Linked DNA regions of Stegostoma tigrinum. The main gene of each other region encodes a partner of the protein of the gene in region 3 in a complex. Links are inferred from orthologs where the notes say so. Each region holds a gene or a part of one and is shown on either strand. Other genes may lie near its edges. The genes, in order: mapk8a, mapk10 and atf2.

The links.
Region 1: the proteins of atf2 (region 3) and mapk8a are in contact, whole or in part, in a crystal structure (PDB 6ZR5), measured with the Homo sapiens proteins. The link is inferred for Stegostoma tigrinum from reciprocal best matches to the Homo sapiens genes ATF2 and MAPK8. Residues at the interface, in NP_001243019.1 of Homo sapiens: Phe36, Val44, Lys48, Met51, Thr52, Leu53, Lys54, Phe55, Gly56, Pro57; in NP_001310257.1 of Homo sapiens: Asp112, Ala113, Gln117, Val118, Met121, Glu126, Arg127, Tyr130, Leu131, Tyr133, Val159, Lys160, Ser161, Asp162, Cys163, Val323, Trp324, Asp326, Ser328, Glu329.
Region 2: the proteins of atf2 (region 3) and mapk10 are in contact, whole or in part, in a crystal structure (PDB 4H36), measured with the Homo sapiens proteins. The link is inferred for Stegostoma tigrinum from reciprocal best matches to the Homo sapiens genes ATF2 and MAPK10. Residues at the interface, in NP_001243019.1 of Homo sapiens: Lys48, His49, Met51, Thr52, Leu53, Lys54, Phe55; in NP_620448.1 of Homo sapiens: Asp150, Ala151, Gln155, Met159, Glu164, Arg165, Tyr168, Val197, Lys198, Ser199, Asp200, Cys201, Trp362, Glu367.

The regions. Positions count from the first base shown.
Region 1 is NC_081390.1:9,555,463-9,559,214, reverse strand, and holds the start of mapk8a (mitogen-activated protein kinase 8), read right to left. Parts: upstream 2,867-3,752; 5' UTR 2,754-2,866; intron 1,475-2,753; exon of another isoform or gene 1,402-1,474; intron 894-1,401; exon of another isoform or gene 742-893; intron 603-741; exon of another isoform or gene 434-602; intron 1-433. UniProt on the Homo sapiens protein: Serine/threonine-protein kinase involved in various processes such as cell proliferation, differentiation, migration, transformation and programmed cell death.
Region 2 is NC_081354.1:75,132,552-75,136,303, forward strand, and holds the start of mapk10 (mitogen-activated protein kinase 10), read right to left. Parts: upstream 2,705-3,752; 5' UTR 2,421-2,704; coding exon 2,418-2,420; intron 2,271-2,417; exon of another isoform or gene 2,250-2,270; intron 1-2,249. UniProt on the Homo sapiens protein: Serine/threonine-protein kinase involved in various processes such as neuronal proliferation, differentiation, migration and programmed cell death.
Region 3 is NC_081360.1:47,011,853-47,015,604, reverse strand, and holds the start of atf2 (cyclic AMP-dependent transcription factor ATF-2), read right to left. Parts: upstream 2,840-3,752; 5' UTR 2,768-2,839; intron 2,703-2,767; exon of another isoform or gene 2,355-2,702; intron 1-2,354. UniProt on the Homo sapiens protein: Transcriptional activator which regulates the transcription of various genes, including those involved in anti-apoptosis, cell growth, and DNA damage response.

The DNA.
Region 1 (3,752 bases), on a different chromosome or scaffold from region 3:
CTCCCTGAAAAACACGACCTTTTCACCATTTCTCCAACAACACAACCTGAACAAGGATGCAAGTCTCTTGTATTAGTGATTGCGTGAAACACTGAATCCCGCAAACAAAGGAATGGGGAGGAGATGGGGGGGGGGGTGAAGAGAAATGAGGGGCTCGCGTGGCTCAAATACGATCATTCAAACGTGTTTTACGCTGATATTTAAAGTGTATTTTGCAGGTCAGCCTTTATCAATAACACAATTTGCATCTGCATGTCGACCAAGAAAGGATTTGAAATAAAATCCGCCAAGTGTTAAAGAACATAAGTGCATGCTATAAATAGAACGCCGGCGATTTTCTCTGCAATTATGGATACAGCCAGACCCTAGTTCCAAAGCGTTTACAATACCACATTTCCCGAAGACTGGGTCGACACCGGAGAATGACAATTACCTGGGCACCGAAATAAACTTCTAAAACATGTTTGAATCGAAGAGGGTGTCGATCTCCCCACCTCCCCTTCAGATCGCAAGTGATGGGGTATTTCATAGCAAACAAAAGAATCTCAAACCGATAGAGCCAGCGCCGCAGATACAGCGAGGCACAATTACCAGAGAAAAGTCTGTCAGAATACAGACAGAAAGGCACAGAACTCCCAAACAAACACCAAACTGCAAGTCAACTGATTAAATCCGGGATTTCGCAATGGCCTGCACATGTAGGAGCAGGATTGAAATAAAAGCAAAAACAAAATTACGCACAATTTGTATGAAAAGGGGATGATCACTCCCGCTCTTGTCCTTGGAGAGTGCCTGAAGAGCCTCTTGTTGGCCCTGAGGTAGAAAGCTGGTTGGACTGAGGGTAGTTCTCACAGTCGGTCCACAGAGTAAAATATACGGTGCAACCAACACAGAGGGATGGGATCCAGCAGACAAAACTAAATGAGTCCTCTGGACGTGCAGGAGGTCCCGGGGGGGGAGTCCCAGCTGGTGGCGGGAGGATGTCTGTGGTATTTACACAAGACAAAACCAGAGACACATGGGGGGGGGAGAAAGAAGAGACGTGACAGGAAATATATGGGGAGAGTAGGGGCTAAGCAAGACAGAAAAAGATGACCGCTGTGGGACAGGGTTAAGGGAGAGTGTTGTGTTGGGCAGAGAACCCCTTCGACTCTGAGTCAAAAGATCCAAATCGAGTACCACTTGACAGCTTATGTGGTCAAAACATCAAACTGTGAATTCTATCAACAGGGAAAAAAGGGTTTGGGGAATGTCAAGCTGGGAGTCACCTAGTTAGACTGACTGCAGAGTGGAGCCCACAGCCCACTGGGAAGAGGCCAGAGCCCTGTTCCAGGATAAACCAGCTGTAGAGACAGACTTAAAACATGGGTTTCATCCAAGTCCCTACCTTTCAAAACCCACCTGCTCCAGAGGTGTCATTACATCTCCCTCAGCATGTTAAGTGGGAAATATCGACAGTGTCTCTCCTGGCAGACCCGGATAGGAGACTTCTGACAAAGCAGCAGGAGATAAGCTGCTGTGTGGGGGAAGGAGTTACACTGCCTCAAGGACAGGGCGTTTAAACATACAATCACAAGGCCCAGGGAAGGGGGTATTTAAAACACACAACACCACCCCCCCCCGCCACCAAGGGTGCCGTCGAATTGTAGCTGTAAAACAGAGTCCCCCCCCTTGCTGCCCACAACCTCCCTCAGTCTTTCACCACCAGACCTTGTGCCCCACCAACTACCTCTGCTTCGCTCTCCTTCTGTCCCTCACCTCCTCTAACCGTTAAACCCTTCCATCTCACCGTTGCGACCTCAAAACCTCCCCATACCCCAGTGTTTGTCCCCCGTCCCCTACACCTGTCCCCATACCCCAGTGTTTGTCCCCCGTCCCCATACCCCACTGTTTGTCCCCCGTCCCCATACCCCACTGTTTGTCCCCCGTCCCCATACCCCACTGTTTGTCCCCCTGTTCCCTACACCTGTCCCCATACCCCACTGTTTGTCCCCCTGTTCCCTACACCTGTCCCCATACCCCACTGTTTGTCCCCCTGTTCCCTACACCTGTCCCCATACCCCACTGTTTGTCCCCCTGTTCCCTACACCTGTCCCCATACCCCACTGTTTGTCCCCCTGTTCCCTACACCTGTCCCCATACCCCACTGTTTGTCCCCCTGTTCCCTACACCTGTCCCCATACCCCACTGTTTGTCCCCCTGTTCCCTACACCTGTCCCCATACCCCACTGTTTGTCCCCCTGTTCCCTACACCTGTCCCCATACCCCACTGTTTGTCCCCCTGTTCCCTACACCTGTCCCCATACCCCACTGTTTGTCCCCCTGTTCCCTACACCTGTCCCCATACCCCACTGTTTGTCCCCCTGTTCCCTACACCTGTCCCCATACCCCACTGTTTGTCCCCCTGTTCCCTACCCCCAATCCCAGTGATTGACCCAAAACCCTCCCCCAGTGCTTGTCCTCCTCCCCAAACCCCCCTCCACTGTTTGTCCCCTACCCCAGTGTTTTCCCCATATCCCCTCCCCCACTGTCTGCCCCTTACCCCCCACCCCACTGTTTGACCCTACCCCAGTTTTTGTCCCCTAACCCCTCCCCAACTGTTCGTCCCTTGTCCCTTGTCTCTTACCCCCTACCCCCTACCCCCTACCCCCTACCCCCTACCTCCTACCTCTGTTTGTCTCCATACCGCATACCGCCTACCGCCTATCCCCTACCCATATCCCCTACCCCCCTGTTTGTCCCCATATCCTCACCCGTTCCGGCGCCGGACACAGACAAAAACCCAGCAACAGATCCACCGACAGCGGCCCCGCTCACCGACTGCGCAAAATAAAACTACGTCAACCGAGCGTGCGCGCCCCCGACAGTAGTCAGGCGCGTGTCCGTCGCCCAGCGGCAGAGCGAGTGAACGCGCACTGTCACTCGATTCCAGCCTGATCAGAGCCGGCGCCGGGGTTGGGGGGGGGGACCAGCAGCCAATAATGTTCCTCTTTTATTTTCCCATTCTGTCCCTCCACCTTCGCAGTTTTCACTTTCTGTTTTTATCCCTCTTGTCTTTTCCCATTCTGTCTCTCCACCTTCGCAGTTTTCACTTTCTGTTTTTATCCCTCTTGTCTTTTCCCATTCTGTCTCTCCAATTTTGCATTTATCGTTTTTTGTTTATTATTCTCTTTTTCTCTCTGTCTCTCTCCCTTTTTTATCCTCACTTTCTATTATTCCGTCAGTCTCTCCCCACATCATACCCTTCCCGTCCTCAGCCAAGCTCTGAGAAATTTCCACTTTGTCAACCTGGTAAAATGCCTTTGAATAAAAGCACCATCTACAATTCCATCTTAATGGTAATGCTCTTTTAAAATAACAATGGACACAGCCAACATTTCATTTCTGTCATGAACTTACCATTTCCCCTTCATGGTTTGTTATTGGTGTGGGAAATTTTGAACATTCACGAGGAACTACATTTAAAACATGAATCCATTGCTTACATGAGAAGTGTGCAAGGTCATTGTTAAAGCATACACAAGGATTTAATCATCCAACAGTAATGTTGAACATTTGTGACAAATAGGCACAAAATCAACCTCTGAAAAGAAATAGTGAATTGAATAGCGCTCATCAAACAGCATAGGTCTGCTTGACTTTGTTACATAGTTAGTCCAACCTATGGTAAGTTTGCTGTTTGTGTTGCTCTTTGTTCTACATAGCAGCTTTAACCAGGATTCAAGATCAAAAGCCAAAGATTTAGCCAAAAG
Region 2 (3,752 bases), on a different chromosome or scaffold from region 3:
TGTCAGTACCTCTACAGTTTCCAGGCTGTTGAATGTTATCCTTCCAACCAGTTATCTGAGTAGGCATCCTACCATCTGCCCATATCTGGAAATGTGTGTAGCAAGGAGGCGCATTTAGTACCAAATATGGTGCTACATGACTTGATTTCTGATTAATTGACAGAACTTGTCACTGGCATCTTCAGCTATTGGCAAAAATGTGCCTCTTGCAGAAAACTAAACTGTGGTCTTTATAATTAACGTTTCTGATTCCTAACTTCATATTTGTTTCAACATCTATCTATTCAAACATGTGAAGATGTTCAAAAAGGCAATGCACCTAAATTTCTTGAAAGCTGTTTTTCTGCCAGAACAGATTGTTAAAAAAATTAATGTCACCTTTTATTAAAATACAGTAATGACAATGAAGAGTAGGTGACATCTGTTCCAGCACAACTGAAACAGGCAAAATCACAATCGTTACAGTCACAGTTCTCTTTAAGAATGATATCATACTCTGACAATGTGATTGTAGAAATTGATCATGTGAAACTGATTTTTCTTTGGCAATTTTTAATTTCTATATTATTTATTAATCTTGTCCAAATATAACTTTGTCTAAATGGTGGTATTCCATGAAAAGCCCACTCCAGGCCATTCAATAGAGCTGAAACCAAAGCTCCAAGTCCAATCGTATGCAAGGGGGCAATTTTAAATAATGAAGTCAGATGGTCATCCACCCCCTTTCCTATCTTTAACTCATTGTATCAGTTGGGAGCCTAGAAAATCATTCAGCCAGCTAGTATGAAAAAAGTATTGACATAAAATGTCAATAAAATGCCATAAGCTATGGTCTATTAATCAGTGACTGAGTTGTTTCCCCAAATTCACACTATTCTCCATAGGATGAATATGAAAATAAGTTTAAGGAACTGTTTAATATTGCTATAAGACAAGGATTCTGAATTTGACTGCAGTATTTAAAGGTAAATACACTGCAGTAGTATGCTTACATCAAATTACACCATTAACTCTATAGCATCTAATTATTTGTTACATAAAATAAGACAGAAAAATATTCAAGATCCACTTAAAATAAACAAATATGTTTCTGATTTACATTTTTAAAGTTTTTGTTTTCTGATTCTCATGCACTGTTTTTTTCTGAAGACCAACAATGTTCTCCTGTAAGTAAATATGAAAATCTATGCTTTCCATGTATATGCAGAAATTAAATCATATCGAAGCCGTCTAAAATGGCTCAGTGTTCTTAACTTTAGGTTACAGCAGAGGCATTCAATGTATTTTCTACGTCATTTGTATATACCAGGACATGACCACTCCTCTAATTAACCACAATTATTTCATTTAAAGAAAAGAGGAGAAATAGATTTCCAGCTCTGAATATCAAATGTGCAAGAACTGCATAGCTTATATTTTAAAACTGAGCACAAAGACTTATGTTGTATCTGTGCAAAAAGACGCCATCACATTTGCTAAACAAGCTAGGTGTATATCCATATTTGGTCATAATCATTTGCAATATTTGCATATACCTTTCTCTCCAGAGATTCTCACACAGAGAAGTCACCAACACCCTCACTGTATAAAACGCCTTCCTCGGCAATAATCAAGAATGCACCCCAGGTAGTTTGTGCCTCTCTATCGTTCTATCCTTACAGACAATTTTAAAGCGAAATTGGCAAGTAACACAGTATTGTGAAATAATGTGATCAAGAAAATGATCAGAATACTCATTTTGTCAAACGGAGTCAGAAAAATAAATGTTCAGTGACCCTTTACAGATCCTTGTAATGTTATCAAGCAGACAATACTGATGAATGGCCAGAACAAAACACTTCCAATCCTTCTTTCAGCCGATGCTGAATCTCTTCACAAGATTAATTAGATGCGTGAATCAAAGCAGAAATCATGACCCCAGATTTCTATCACTTCGAACAGGCTGAAAGACAATCAATTAACCCCAATGATCCGAAACCGATTCACTGATATCAAAACTTGCTAATTCATCACTAAATTCATTTTAAAACAATTCGTTGTTTACATGTATATGTATATGACAAGCTATAAGGCTAGAAAGGTGTAAAATGTTTCTTGCCGACTATTTGCAAAATATTCATTTCACTTTTATCAAATTCCTCAAGTTTTCTCTTTCAAACATTAACTAAACAGTAATTTACATGCACTACATCAAGCCTTAAGCATTATTTTACTCATGTACTTTGCATTCTCTAATGACAGTAAGTTACCGGATGGATGCATATCAATACGAGGAAAAAGGCTACATCCAGCTGCCACTTGCTGGGATGCTTTCCTCATGCAATTCTAGCGGTCTACTTCATTAACCTTTGCTGAAATCAATATTCATCACCCCACCCTTAACAGGTTAGCACACTGCATCAGTATCAACCACCTACCATGCCGTGCCAACTGAAGAGAATCCTGGTATGGTAACAGTCCCCCCCACTGCAATCCGGATTCAAACCATTTTGCTTTTCGCAAAAGAAGAATGAAACACAAAAGATGCACAATGGATCGGAGAGGATGCCTGGAAAGGAGGAGGAGGAGAGAGAGAAGAGAGCTGCTGGAGAGGAGGGAGAGATTGCTGAATCACCGCCATCACCCGTGTTAAACCATTGTGCAGTCAATGCTGCCTGTACCAGTGTGGAACCTACCAGATGAGACAGACAGAGAGCCTGGGGAATAAGTTTCTATGGCAACTGAAAGGAGCACACATGACGTCAAAGCTCGCAGAAGGTCTGGGGTAGGGGGAGAGACTTTTAAATCTGACAGTATCTCCATATGCTTCCGTAATGACTTATTTAGAACCCAGTACAAAACAGTTTATCCCATAGACCTGCACTTAACACACGAATTATATAGCCGTAGCAAGCAATTAATACAGAGAGTGCACTGAGGCATCTCCAGCCAAATGTTGCCTACTGTACTAGTTTTGAAAATGCGCAGAATAATAATTTTGTTACCAAAGTACAGTTGGAGAATACTTTCGTTCACAATAAATATTCATACAGTGCACAAAGGTACAATTACCAGTACAAAAATTTTAATATATTAAAATAAAATGTTATTATTTTGTGTAATTCAACATAATCGTTATACAATATTCTTGTACAACAAGGAGGAAGAGGCTTCTCCCTACCTGTACACGCACATACACATCCACAAACATTTTTCTCATTCTCACACAACCAACTTTAACTATTTGAGGATTCTCCCGCTGTCTTATAACTGCATTAGTATTGTGTTTACCTTGAGAACACCAGCCGATTCAATTATTGTTGCTGTTAGTTTCTACCAAATTAAAATTCATTATTTTACGGATCACTGGAATATTCGTTACCCAATCAGATTAGTATATAGTTACCACTCTGAAGTTTATAAGATTATTATATCGTGAGACAGTGCCTTTAAGGCAAAAATGAATGGGATCATGTGACCTGTTCCAAAATGTGCCTGACAGCAAGCCTGGCACGTGGTTTGACTGTTAAAGATTAAAAGAAACAGTTTATTTTACTGGGAACAAGGTGCAGGTGAATATAGTTTGGAAGCAATGGCAGCAAGCTGTGTGCTAAAAGTAGAAATACTGTGAGTCTCCAAAGTTCCAGAAGCATGTTGAGAATGTTGCTTGTAAGCTGGATGGGTATCAGCCGCTACCTGAGAGGGAAAATCACATTTATTTATGAGTGAGGCTGAGCCATCCAGTTGAGATCTAGTCCATTATAGCTTGAAAG
Region 3 (3,752 bases):
CCAGGCCGCATTCCCCCTTCCCCATAACCCTACATTTCCCATGACTCATCCACCTAGCCTGCACATCCCTTGATGTTATGGGCAATTTAGCATGGCCAATCAGCTCAAGCTACACAAGGAAACCAACACACCGGGAAGAAGCCTATGCAGCCTTGGGGAGAACGTGCAAACTCCACCATCCTAAAAAGACAGCTATGAGTGGTAGAAACCAGGAAAGTAACGAAGACCAAAGAGAACTTGACATGCATATTCCTGAAGGTAGTACTGCAGATAAGTAAGTCAAATTAGATATTTGCTTTTATTAGCCAAGGCACAGAGTACAAGAGCAGTGAGGTTATACTCAAATTGTATAACATGAGGATTAAGCCACAATTGACGCACTGTATGATGTCTGATCAACACATTAGAGGAAGGGTGTTGTTCTGCTTGAGAGGATGCAGGGGATACTTAGCAGGATGGTGCAAGAGTGTATATGAGGAAAGACTGGACAAGTTGGAATTATTTTCCTTCCAGCAGTTAAGGTTGAGAAGTGACCTGATAGAGGTGTTCAAGATCACGAGGGACATTGATAGGAAGGTATTTCTTTCCATTAGTACAGAGAACAAAAACGAGGGGGCATAGATTTAAGGTAAGAGGTTGACGGCTAAGTTGACGAGAAAATTTCCTGGAACGAACTGCCTGAGAGGGTGGTCAGATCAAAAACTCTAACATTTAAGCAGTATTTAGATATTCATTTGCACTGTCAGAACCTCTAGGGCCATGGACAAATATGGGATTAGTGTAGTCAGATCTTTGTTGACTGGCACATACAAAATGGACCAAATGGCCCCCTCCTGTGCTATTACATCAGATTCTAAAACAAACCTCTGCATTTGTTAACTGCTAAGGTTACAGCCTGAATTGGGGAGCTCTTGTGATGTAGTGATAGTGTTCTTACCTCTGAGCCAGAAGGATTGGATTCAACTCCCAACTGCTCCAGAGTGTGTCATAACTTGTCTAAATGGGTTGATTACAAGTATCTACAGCCCAAGTTAAATCAATATATATCAAGTGTATGCTTACTGGGTGCATTTAACAATTGTGTATTCAAAAGTGTAATCATTTTTAAAGTCATGAAATAATCCTTTTCTGAATCATTGGTTATTGCTCAGACAACACATAACCTTTGCTGAAATCTGGCACCATGTACTTCTAAACTTATTTGGAAGCCCCATTAAAAATACATTTACAGTTCTCAATTACCATCTGTGCCGTAGTTGATTCATCTTCCTTAGACTCCTTTTCCCTTAAAGCAAGAAATCCCCAGGGTCCTCTTATTTGCCTCATCTGGTTCCATCTTCAGATCAATGACTTACACTGATCATTCACCCCCACTCATGCTTTTCATGATTCTATTCTACGTTCAATGTATGCCAGTCCTTCAAAAGTCCAACAGATAAATCATTTTGCTATGAAGCAGCATCACTGAACCAATTTATTTTTTCAGTTTTTTAAAATACATACCATTTCCTCAATCTCTGGCAAGTATATATTGTACTGCTACCATGTTTTTGATTTTTCATCCATTGTCCTTGTCTGTCAACGGTTAACATTGGACTGCACAGTTCTTGTGACTTCAAACAGCAATCCCACATCATTTAATGTAGGAACCTACACTGTCATGTTTCAAACATTTATTACTTTCCCCTCAATGACACAATAAAATCAAGACTTCAATTCTGCTGTCAATTTAGACAGTTCCTTCCGCCACCTTTCTAATATTGCTGAAAACAACAAGAGGCCCGTTCACTCTCAAGCGTGTTTCTTTTTTGTGCTATGATTCCACCCTAGTGTTGCTTCAAACTTTGCTTCCTGTTTCCTAAGTATCAAACACATGCCCTACAAAGTATTTTTCCTTCTGATGAATGCTTGTTTTCAAAACTGTGGAATTCTTTTTTTAATTCCTTCGACAAGATTTTGAAAACTAAGCTTGGCGTCACTTAATTTTGATTTACCTTAGTGGTGTCGATAGGTAGTATGGACTTTTGGCCTACACCCGAGTTTCCCATTAACAAATATACTTGCCTATCGGATTTTAAAACTGTTTATTACTGAAGGAAACAGAAGCAGTATTTATACTTTCCACGGCTGGGAAGTAGCCATTATTGACTCTTAATTAATTCCTTCAGAACCTGAAACCAATTATAAGATTAAACGCGATTCGTTTGGTTTGAGGTGCAGGATTTCATACGGTACATCATCAATAACAAGATGCTACAAATTTTGGTTCAACTTGCTGTGTGAATCGCATTAACGTTCCCAATGTACGATTTGACTCGGTTACAATACAGCAATACCAATGACAAGGATACTACCGGTCTGCTTTCGAGGAAACGAGACACTGGTTGGATTTTCTACCGTTCGTCTCATACAGATGTGTCCACGTCTAGAAGAGCACCACGATTCAAGACCAGAAAGACCCCGCCCTTTACTCAACACAAGCGGTTACTCGGGAATTTGTGTGGCTCCAGAGAAGAGGAGTAACCTGCACTGTGAGGAAACCTCCTCCAACTGGAAGGAAGCCTCAGGAATCAGAGCCCCAGCGGCCGGGGAGCGTCGCCATATTAACAAATAACGTTCGTGAACAGACCCACCCCGGAGCGGCTCGCCGCTCACACACCCCAGCCCCATGATCAGAGCTCATTGTGAAAATAAACGCCGCTCCAAACGTCATGACAAGAAGCCCGGAGCCGTCTAGATTACTGATTATCGTTGTTTACAAACTTACCACAAGGGCTGATTCTTGCTCACGGACAAGCGAGCTGACACCTCGCGAGAGTTCAACCCAGGAACCCTCGGCCCTACGTCACCTGGTCACATGACACATGCAGGGTGGTGGTGTCAGGTGAAGGGTCATCCATTAGTACGCAAGAAGCTGTTGTGGGTTAGTCGATGGTCAATGGAAGGACTCTCGGGGATTAGTTATTGGTAACATGAGAAGAACGAACCACTATGTGCCATTTCATACTGACCGGTGGGAACCAATTTTGGTCAATTCATGGTAAATAGTGTGGTATAAGGAACAACTGTGATCACAGTACACAGCACCTACCTGCCTTTCACTACCAGAACTGTTTTAATGGTCTACCAGCACCTACGCTACTCTGACAGACAATTTGTCATGTGTAGTCATCCTAACTGGAAATTCTGACATATCCAAATGGAACCATAGAAAAGTAGTCTGTCAACATGGCAAGAAAAAATGAGCTGTGTTCCACCAGCAGACATCAAAGATCATAGAATCTTTATAGTGTGGAAATAGGCACTTCGGCCCAACCAACCCTCACAGCATCCCACCCAGACCCATCTCTCTATAACCCACCTAATCTGCACATCCCTGAACACTATGGGCAATTTAGCTGAGCCAATTCACCTAGCTTGCACATCTTTGTTATGTGGGAGGAAACCAAAGCACCCAGAGGAACCCCACGTAGACACGGGGAGTCCACACAGACAGTCACTTGAGGGTGGAATCAAACCTGGGTTCCTGGTGTTTTGAGGCAGTAGTGCTAACCACTGAGCCACCGTGCTACCCAAATTAGCAAACAATACGCTGTTTGGCACAGGTGGGGAATATGGAACAATAGGTGAGAATGCAAGTTGTGAGGATGACACAAAGTTTACAGAAAGATATAGACAGATTAAGTGAGTGGGCAAAGACTTGGCAGATGGTATACAATGTGGGGCAAATGTGAGATTATGCACTTTGGTGC